2 linked regions of the Coturnix japonica genome follow. The protein of the gene in region 1 purifies or fractionates together with the protein of each later gene. This does not show direct contact. Links are inferred from orthologs where the notes say so. Each region holds a gene or a part of one and is shown in the gene's direction. Other genes may lie near its edges.

Region 1 (4,040 bases):
GCCTGACACAGAGACACAGAGCCCGACCCCCCTGTGCTTTGCTGTCAGTACCAAGCGGTGCTTCCCCGCAGATCCCACGGGTGGACGGCGAGTACAACCTGAAGGTGCCTCGGGACATGGCGTATGTGTTCAGCGGGGCCTACACGCCCCTGAGCTGCAAGATCATCGAGCAGGTCGGTGCCCCCAGGTGCTCTCAGTGCTGCCCTGTGCCCAGAGCTGCCCTGATCTGTGCTATGCTGTGTTGTGCTGTGCTATACTGTGCTATACCATGCCATGCTATACCGTGCTATGTGGTACTGTGCTATACTGTGCTATACCATGCCATGCTATACCGTGCTATGTGGTACTGTGCTATACTGTGCTATACCATGCCGTGCTATACCGTGCTGTGCGGTGCCGTGCAGGTGCTGGAGCGTCGCGGCTGGCAGGGCCTGGAGGAGGTGCTGCGGCTGCTGAACGGGAGCGAGTTCTCCATGGCCGGTAGGAGCCGTGTTGGGGTGTCGGGGGTCGGTGCCGGGCGGGGCCGTTGTGACGCCGTGTCCCGCAGACGGAGCGATGGAGGATGGCGCTGCACAGCGCGTGGTGCTGGCCGTGTTCATTGGGGGCTGCAGCTACTCCGAGATGGCGGCGCTGCGATTCGTGGGCAGGGAGAGAGGTACGGGATGGGGGGGAGAGGGACGGGACGGGACGGGGGTTCAGCGTTGGGGCCGTGTGTGTTAGTGCTGCCCATGTTGCCGTGCTGTCCCCGCCCTCAGGTTACCGGTTCATCTTCCTGACCACCGGCATCACCAGCAGCTCCCGTGTGATGGAGGCCATGGCCGAGCACAAGGTGTGACAGCGCTGGGGCGGGGCGGGCTGCGCTGCGGGGCCCGGCCCGCTCAATAAACGCCGCCGTCCAGTCCGACCCTGTCTGGTACCGTCCGTCTCGGCCCGGTTTATCCCGGTTCATCCCGGTTCCATCCCGGTTCATCCCGGTCCATCCCGGTTCATCCCGGTTCCGTCCCGAGGCGTCATTCAAAGCCGAGCGGCGCGCGCGTTTCTGTGTCACGTGATCGGCGTCAAAAGTCGCGCGTGCGCAGTGCGGCGGAGCGCCGCTCAGAGCCCAGCGGCCGCACGCAGCCGTTCCGGCTCGCGATTGGGCGGACGCCCCGACGGCGCTTGGCTGCCATTGGCTGACAGCCGGCTGGGGGCGGGACCTGGGGAGCGGTTGTGGGCGGGGCCAGGCGCGAAGCTTCAGCCAATGAGCGGCTGAGGAACCAGAGTTTGAATCGGCGGCTGCGGGCGGCGGAGAGTGGGGACATGAGGAGGAGGTACGGGAACGGGAACGGGAAAGGAAACGGGGAAGGGGATGGGAGACGGGAACGGAAACGGGATACGGAACGGGGAACGGACTGGGATACGGGAACGGGAAATGGGAACTGGAAACGGAACGGGAATACGGACGGGAACGGGGAAGGGAATGGGAACGGGAACGGAACGGGAGACGGGAGTGGAACGGGGACGGGAACGGGAACGGGACGGGAACGGGGAAGGGAACGGTTACGGGGAACGGGAACGGCGTACGGGACCGCGGATGGGAGACGGGAACGGAAACGGGACGGGAACGGGGAACGGGAACGGAACGGGATGGGGACGGGGACGGGAACGGGGGATGGAGTACGGAACGGGAACGGACGGGAAACGGGACGGAACGGGAACGGGAATGGCGACGGGACGGGAACGGAAACGGGAACGGGATGGGAACGGGAACGGGAACGGAAACGGGAATGGAACGGAACGGGAACGGGAATGGGAACGGGAACGGACGGAACGGAGCGGGAATGGGGCAACGGGAATGGGGAGTGGGGATGGGAACGGGAAGAATGGGCTGTGATACGGGGATGGGGCCCGGGGCCGCGGCGGGGAGCGGGGGGAGCAGTGGTGCGGGGTGCGGTGTCCCGGTGTCGTTGTCGGGTGTTGGCGGTGCCCGGTGGCTGTCGCGGCCGCCCTCGGAGCCGCTCCGCCGTTAGCGAGTGCTGGCGGCCGAGGCCGTGACGGCCTGAAACTCGCGCCCTGTCCGCCGCCTGGCGGGACATATGGTGAGCGATCGGCAATCGCCCGAGGGAACTGCGGCTCGAGCGACCGGGGCTGTGAAGAGACACCTGTCAAAGGTTCAGCGGGGCGGGGTCGGGAGCGGGGGATCGGGGGAGGGGGCGGGCGCGGGACGGGGACGGCGCCGTGCTGTGTGTTCCTGCATGCCCTGTGCTGTGCTGTGCCTTCGTGCTGTGTTGTGACATGTGCTCCCATGCTGTGCCGTGTTGTGTGGCTCGTCTGGGTTGTGCTTCATCTCGTGCTGTGTGTTTGTGTTGTGTGTGCTCCATGCGTGCTGTGTTGTAGCTGTGTTGTGTTTGTTTGTGCTCCAATGCTGTGCTGTGTTGTGTTGTGTGTGCTCCATGCTGGTGCTGTGCTGTGTTGTGTTGTGCGCGTGCTGTGGCTGTGTTGTGTTGTTATCGCTCCATGCCGGCTGTGCGTGGCCTTATTGTAAACTGTATTTTGCTCCATGCTGCCGTGTTGTACGCGTGTTTTTGCTCATGCCGTCTGTGCCTCAGAAACCTGCTGGACATTGATGGTGGCGTGAGGAGAGCGCCTGGAGGGAGGCAGATGCGCAGACCGTGGCCGTGTACAGGAAGAGCTGGACGGCCCTTCTGTGCCGTAAGCTGCACGCCGAGCCTTCCAGGTGAAGAGCGCACAACAGGAGCCTGCCACCGGGAGCTAGGTGAGCCCGAAGGCTTCACCCAACGACAACGGCCCGGGGTGGGCGCTGGGAAGGCCGCCAGCAAGAGCCTGTGGATGCAGCCGTGGGTATGCAGCGCTGTGGGATGCTGCGCTGTGGGTGCAGCCACTGGGGATCCAGTGCCGTGATGCAGGCGCTGTGGGATGCTGCGCTGTGGGATGCAGCGCTGTGGGATGCAGCGCTGTGGGATGCAGCGCTGTGGGATGCAGCGCTGTGGGATGCAGCGCTGTGGGGTGCTGCGCTGTGGGATGCAGCGCTGTGGGATGCAGCGCTGTGGGATGCAGCGCTGTGGATGCAGCGCTAGTGGAAATGCAGCGCTGGTGGCTGATGCAAGCGTGCGATGGCATGCAGGGCTGTGGGATGCTTGCGCTGTGGGGATGCTAGCGCTGTGGGATGCAGCGCCTGTGGGAAATGACCGTGCGTGGGATGCAGCGCGCTGTGGGTTGCAGGCGCTGTGTGGATGCAGCTCTGTGGGAGCCAGCGCTTGGGGATGGCAGCGCCGTGGATGCCAGCTGCTGTTGTATGTCAGCGCTGTGGGAGTGCAGGCGCTGTGGGGGATGCGAAGCGGGCGCTGTGGTGCTGTGCTGTGCGGAGGCCAGGCGCTGTGGGGTGCTGTGGCTGTGGGATGCAGCGCTGTGGGATGCAGCGCTGTGGGAATGCAGCGCTGTGGGATGCAGCGCTGTGGGATGCTGTGCTGTGGGGTGCTGTGCTGTGGGAAGCCCAGGGAGCACTCCACTGAGCTCTGGAGCTGCATCCCAGTTCTCTGCTCCCAAACCTCCAAGTACCTGAGTTGCATCCCAGAGAACTGCAGAATGAGCCCTGATCCCGCGCTTCCTTCGAGACGCAGAGGGACACCCATCCTGCAAGATGGTGAATTGAATTTACGGCCCGCGTTAGTGCGTGCTGAAGCAGAAGAAGGACAGGAAAGCAGGAGCGAAGGCCTCTGCAGAGAACAGATACGAGAACCTGTGCGAGCATCCTCTGCGTGTCCTCTTCAGCATTGATGATCGGTGCCGGTGCCCACGGACGAGCTGGACGCGCTAACCGACGTCCACGTGCCCAACTCAGCGCAGAGAAGGTAGGCGGGAGGGGCCCAGAAGCATCTGGGAGGTTGGGGGCTGGGAGGTGCCGCAACCGGGTCCTTCAAGGAGGCTGCTCATCTCAAGGAGCGAAGGCAAGAAGAATTTTCTAGCAATCAAGCGGCAGGGTGGCAGTGCAACTGCGAGCTGGAGCACACGCCCTGACACCAGCCTTTTGAGCGGGACGT
Region 2 (4,279 bases), on another chromosome or scaffold:
GCTCGTGTTCCACGTTATGGCTGGTGAGGGAAAAGAATCATCAAGGAGGCTGGGTACAATCACATCCACCTGGTGATATGGCACCTTGGTGGCAGAGGGGGGAAGAAACTGAAGAATATGCCAACAAAAATGGGTGGATTCTGCACAATAAAGAAGTGTCACATTCTTGGGTCAGTGTGGAAATGTATTTTATAAGCCAAACGTTGTCACGTGGAAGCATCACAACAGGCTGTGTGGAAAAACACATCGAGCATGAATTCCCTGCACATAGTGAAGTGTGGCAGTGTGAAAAGCTGCTCACAGCCCACAGGGAGAGGGAGGAGATGGATAAATCCCATTGCGTGATCCCTGCAGCAGCTTCAGCCCCGCACTGAGCGGGGACACCCACAGCTTCATCAGTGCTCAGAGCCCCATCCAGCCTGACCATGGGTGTCTGCAGGCACCACCACCTTTCCGTGCACCCTGTGCCATTCCTCACCCCCCTCTCTGCAAACAGCTTCTTTACATCCAATTGAAGTTTACATCCCTTTTAAAACCGTTTCCCCTTGTCCTGACGCACAGACCCACCTTTCTTATAGCTCCCCTTCAGCTCGCTCTCCTGTCGCCCCGGAGGGCTGGCAGTGTCCATTAGTTCTCCCGTGTAGGAATCACCCCGCTGCCAGTTCCTGCCCCAGCCGTGCCAATAACCCACTGCGGTGCCGATAACCCACTGCAATGCCAATAACCCACTGCAATGCCAATAACCCACTGGGTGCCAATAACCCACTGCAATGCCAATAACCCACTGCAGTGCCAATAACCCACTGCGGTGCCAATAACCCACTGCAATGCCAATAACCCACTGCGGTGCCAATAACCCACTGCAATGCCAACAACCCACTGCAATGCCAATAACCACTGCAATGCCACAATTAACCCACTGCAATGCCAATAAACCACTGCAATGCCAATAAACCCACTGCGAATGTCAATAACCCAACTGCAGTGCCCAATAACCATGCGGTGCCAATAACCCACTCGGTGCCATATAACCCACTGCAAATGGCCATAACCCAGCTGGGTGCCAATAACCCACTGCAATGCAATAAACCCACTGCAGTGCAATAACCCACTGGTGCCAATAACCCATGCAATTGCCAATAACCCACTGGGTGCCAATCAACCCACTGCAATGCCCATAACCACTGGGTGCCCAATAACCCACTGCAATGCCAATAACCCACTGCAGTGCCAATAACCCACTGGTTGCCATATACCCCACTGCGTTTGCCCATACCCGCCGCGCCGCTCGCTCCTCCCGCCCGCTGGGTGGCGCTGTGCTCCGTCCCCGCCGGTTCCTGTCTCTTTAAGCCGGGCTGTGTCGCTCCGCTCCCATGTTGCTCCGCGGCGGGCGGCGTGGATTTTAAATCCTCCGGACCAATGAGGAGCCGCCGCGGGCGCGTAACGCTCGGGGGCCGCGTTTGAATCGGTCTGAGCGCCGCACATAGAGACACAGCGACACAGCGCGTCCCGCACGGCTCCGCTTCGGGGTTCGGATCCGGTTCGGTTCCGCCTCATTCGGCTTTGACTGCAGTTCTCAGCTCGGACAGCGGCACCATGAACGCGGCGGGCGGCAAAGCCCGACCGGTGGCTGCGGTGGAACCGGCCCGATCGGGTGGAGCGACGGCGGCTGCGGGTAAAGAGGTTCCGAAGGTTCTGCTGGACCCGCGGACCAGGCGCAGTTACGTGCGGGGCCGGTTCCTGGGCAAGGGCGGCTTCGCTCGGTGCTACGAACTGACCGAGAACGAGAGCAGGGAGGTGTTCGCTGGGAAAGTGGTGCCCAAATCGCTGCTGGCCAAACCGCACCAGAAGGAGAAAATGTCGATGGAGATCGCCATCCACCGCAGCCTGGCGCACCAGCACGTCGTGGGCTTCCAGGGGTTCTTCGAGGACAGCGATTTCGTCTACGTGGTGCTGGAGCTGTGCCGCCGCAGGGTGAGGGCGGGGGGTGCGGGTGGGGGCTGAGCGGGATGGGAGCTGGGTGACCAACACCCCGACCAACACCCCATCACCGTGACCAACACCCCCATCCCTATGTGCTCTTATCCCCGAGTGTTCTTATCCCTATGTGCTCTTATCCCCGTGTGTTCTTATCCCTATGTGCTCTTATCCCCGTGTGTTCTTATCCCCGCAGTCACTGCTGGAGCTGCACAAGCGGCGGAAGGCGCTGAGCGAGCCCGAGGTGCGTTATTACCTGCGGCAAACCATCCTGGGCTGCCAGTACCTGCACAGCCAGCGCGTCATCCACCGAGACCTCAAGCTGGGAAACCTCTTCCTTAGCGATGACATGGAGGTGAAGATCGGTAGGTGTCGGGGTGCGGTGCCTGCAGGACCCCCATGGCTGTCCCACCCCACCTGGGTTCTCTCATTGCTCCCATCTCTGTGTCTCCCCAAGGTGACTTTGGCTTGGCCACCAAAGTGGAGTATGATGGTGAGCGCAAGAAGACCCTGTGTGGGACCCCCAACTACATCGCCCCAGAGGTGCTGGGCAAGAAGGGGCACAGCTTTGAAGTGGATGTGTGGTCCATTGGCTGCATCATGTGAGTCAAAGTGTCTCCTGCAGGGCTGTGAGGTCCCTGTGCCCCACATCCTGTTGGCCCCTGTGAGGTTCTGGTGTATCCTGCAGCTATGGATGTGCTGTATCCAGCACACTGCCATGGCTGCTGGCACCTGACCTCCCTGGTGCTCTGGGGGAGGGAGGGGAATAAATCTAACACACTTCCATGTCTACAAACACACAGGTATACTCTGCTGGTGGGGAAACCACCTTTTGAAACCTCTTGTCTCAAAGAAACATACCTCCGAATCAAGAAGAATGAGTATACTATTCCCAAGGTAAAGTACTTCTCATGGGTGGGTCTATTCATCTTGCAGCCGTTCTTGTACCATCCCATTTCTGGCACTCAGTGGGCTCTCACATAATAGTGAAGCAGCTATTATCACAGTGAGATGGGAAGGGGCTGTATCAATCAGTGGCAGAGTGAACCTGTATGGTTCTGTCTCCCAGGCTTATGTCCTGCTTGCCTGACCCAGAGCTGTGCTCTGAGCAGAACCTGTTGTATTATACAGAGCAGATGCCACTAATGTGTGCTTGTCCTTCTGCTTGACTCACAACTCTGCCTGTCTCCTCCTAGCACATCAACCCTGTAGCTGCTAACCTCATTCAGAAGATGCTGAGATCTGACCCTGCCACGCGCCCAACTATCAATGAGTTGCTGAACGATGAGTTCTTCACATCAGGGTACATCCCCAGCCGCCTGCCCACCAGCTGTCTCACTGTTGCACCTCGGTTTTCAATCGCTCCCAGCACACTTGAACTGAATGGGCGAAAGCCACTGACGGCACTCAACAAAGGTAAGAGGAGGCGTCTGGAAGTGAGGGCTGAGGACTGCAGCACTGGATGAGTGCCTGCCTGGCCTCTAGCAACACACAGACCCATCTGTGGGGAATATAGTGCTGCCTCACCTACTCTCCCAGTTCTCATGATAACTAGAACATATCGTGTCTGGGAGTTCTCCTTGTTCTTTGTCCAGAACCAAAGCAGGGAGCAGTTCAGCTATGAGGTGCATAATGTGTTTCTTATAACTAGGGTAGCATGTAAATTGGTGCTTTTAGAAACTTGCTGCTCATGTTTCTGCAATCTTCTCTTTTTTTTCTGGCCCAGGACCAGAAAGCCCTGCATTAGAAAACCTGCCTGAAAAGGAAGATGCAGCTGGGCTGCGGGAGGTGGGAGACAGCATTGAGTGTCACTTAGCAGACATGTTACAGCAGCTGACTGCAGTCAACTCAGCCAAACCCTCTGAGAGAACTGCAGTGAGACAAGGTGAGTCTGGGGACAATCCCACAGGCACTGACATTTTTGGACAACTTGCTTCTGTCATTGATGCCTCTTGGCTGAACTGAGGGACCAACTGACCTCAGCTTCAACCTGAAAGGCAGAAAAGCAATGTGGAAGCTACTTACCTTCCTCTTGGCCTTGCTTGCTGTGCTGCACAGCATGCCTTAAAATGTCTTCTAACAAACTCCTTTTCTCCTTGCAGAAGAAGCTGAAGACCCAGCCTGTATTCCCATCTTTTGGGTTAGCAAATGGGTGGACTACTCGGATAAGTATGGTCTAGGTAAATAACATGATGGCAGTACTTCAGCCTTTTCTAGCTCCTAAAGCAGCTGGTAGAAGTCCTGATCTGTGCTCAGTGTAGATTTAGTTCTTAAATCATGATCAGTGTTTGCATTCAAGAGT

What was found.
Region 2: the proteins of PRC1 (region 1) and PLK1 purify together in Homo sapiens (affinity purification with western blotting; 4 studies listed by BioGRID and IntAct, with this or other methods). This does not show direct contact. The link is inferred for Coturnix japonica from reciprocal best matches to the Homo sapiens genes PRC1 and PLK1.

What each region holds. Positions count from the first base shown.
Region 1 is NC_029525.1:18,211,416-18,215,455, forward strand, and holds the start of PRC1 (protein regulator of cytokinesis 1), read left to right. Parts: upstream 1-1,176; 5' UTR 1,177-1,299; coding exon 1,300-1,310; intron 1,311-4,040. Other genes in the region: VPS33B (vacuolar protein sorting-associated protein 33B), read left to right, coding at 72-173, 405-480, 548-655, 756-835. UniProt on the Homo sapiens protein: Key regulator of cytokinesis that cross-links antiparrallel microtubules at an average distance of 35 nM. Essential for controlling the spatiotemporal formation of the midzone and successful cytokinesis.
Region 2 is NC_029529.1:6,809,625-6,813,903, forward strand, and holds the start of PLK1 (serine/threonine-protein kinase PLK1), read left to right. Parts: upstream 1-1,414; 5' UTR 1,415-1,596; coding exon 1,597-1,974; intron 1,975-2,173; coding exon 2,174-2,342; intron 2,343-2,434; coding exon 2,435-2,579; intron 2,580-2,780; coding exon 2,781-2,874; intron 2,875-3,173; coding exon 3,174-3,393; intron 3,394-3,703; coding exon 3,704-3,862; intron 3,863-4,079; coding exon 4,080-4,157; intron 4,158-4,279. UniProt on the Homo sapiens protein: Serine/threonine-protein kinase that performs several important functions throughout M phase of the cell cycle, including the regulation of centrosome maturation and spindle assembly, the removal of cohesins from chromosome arms, the inactivation of anaphase-promoting complex/cyclosome (APC/C) inhibitors, and the regulation of mitotic exit and cytokinesis.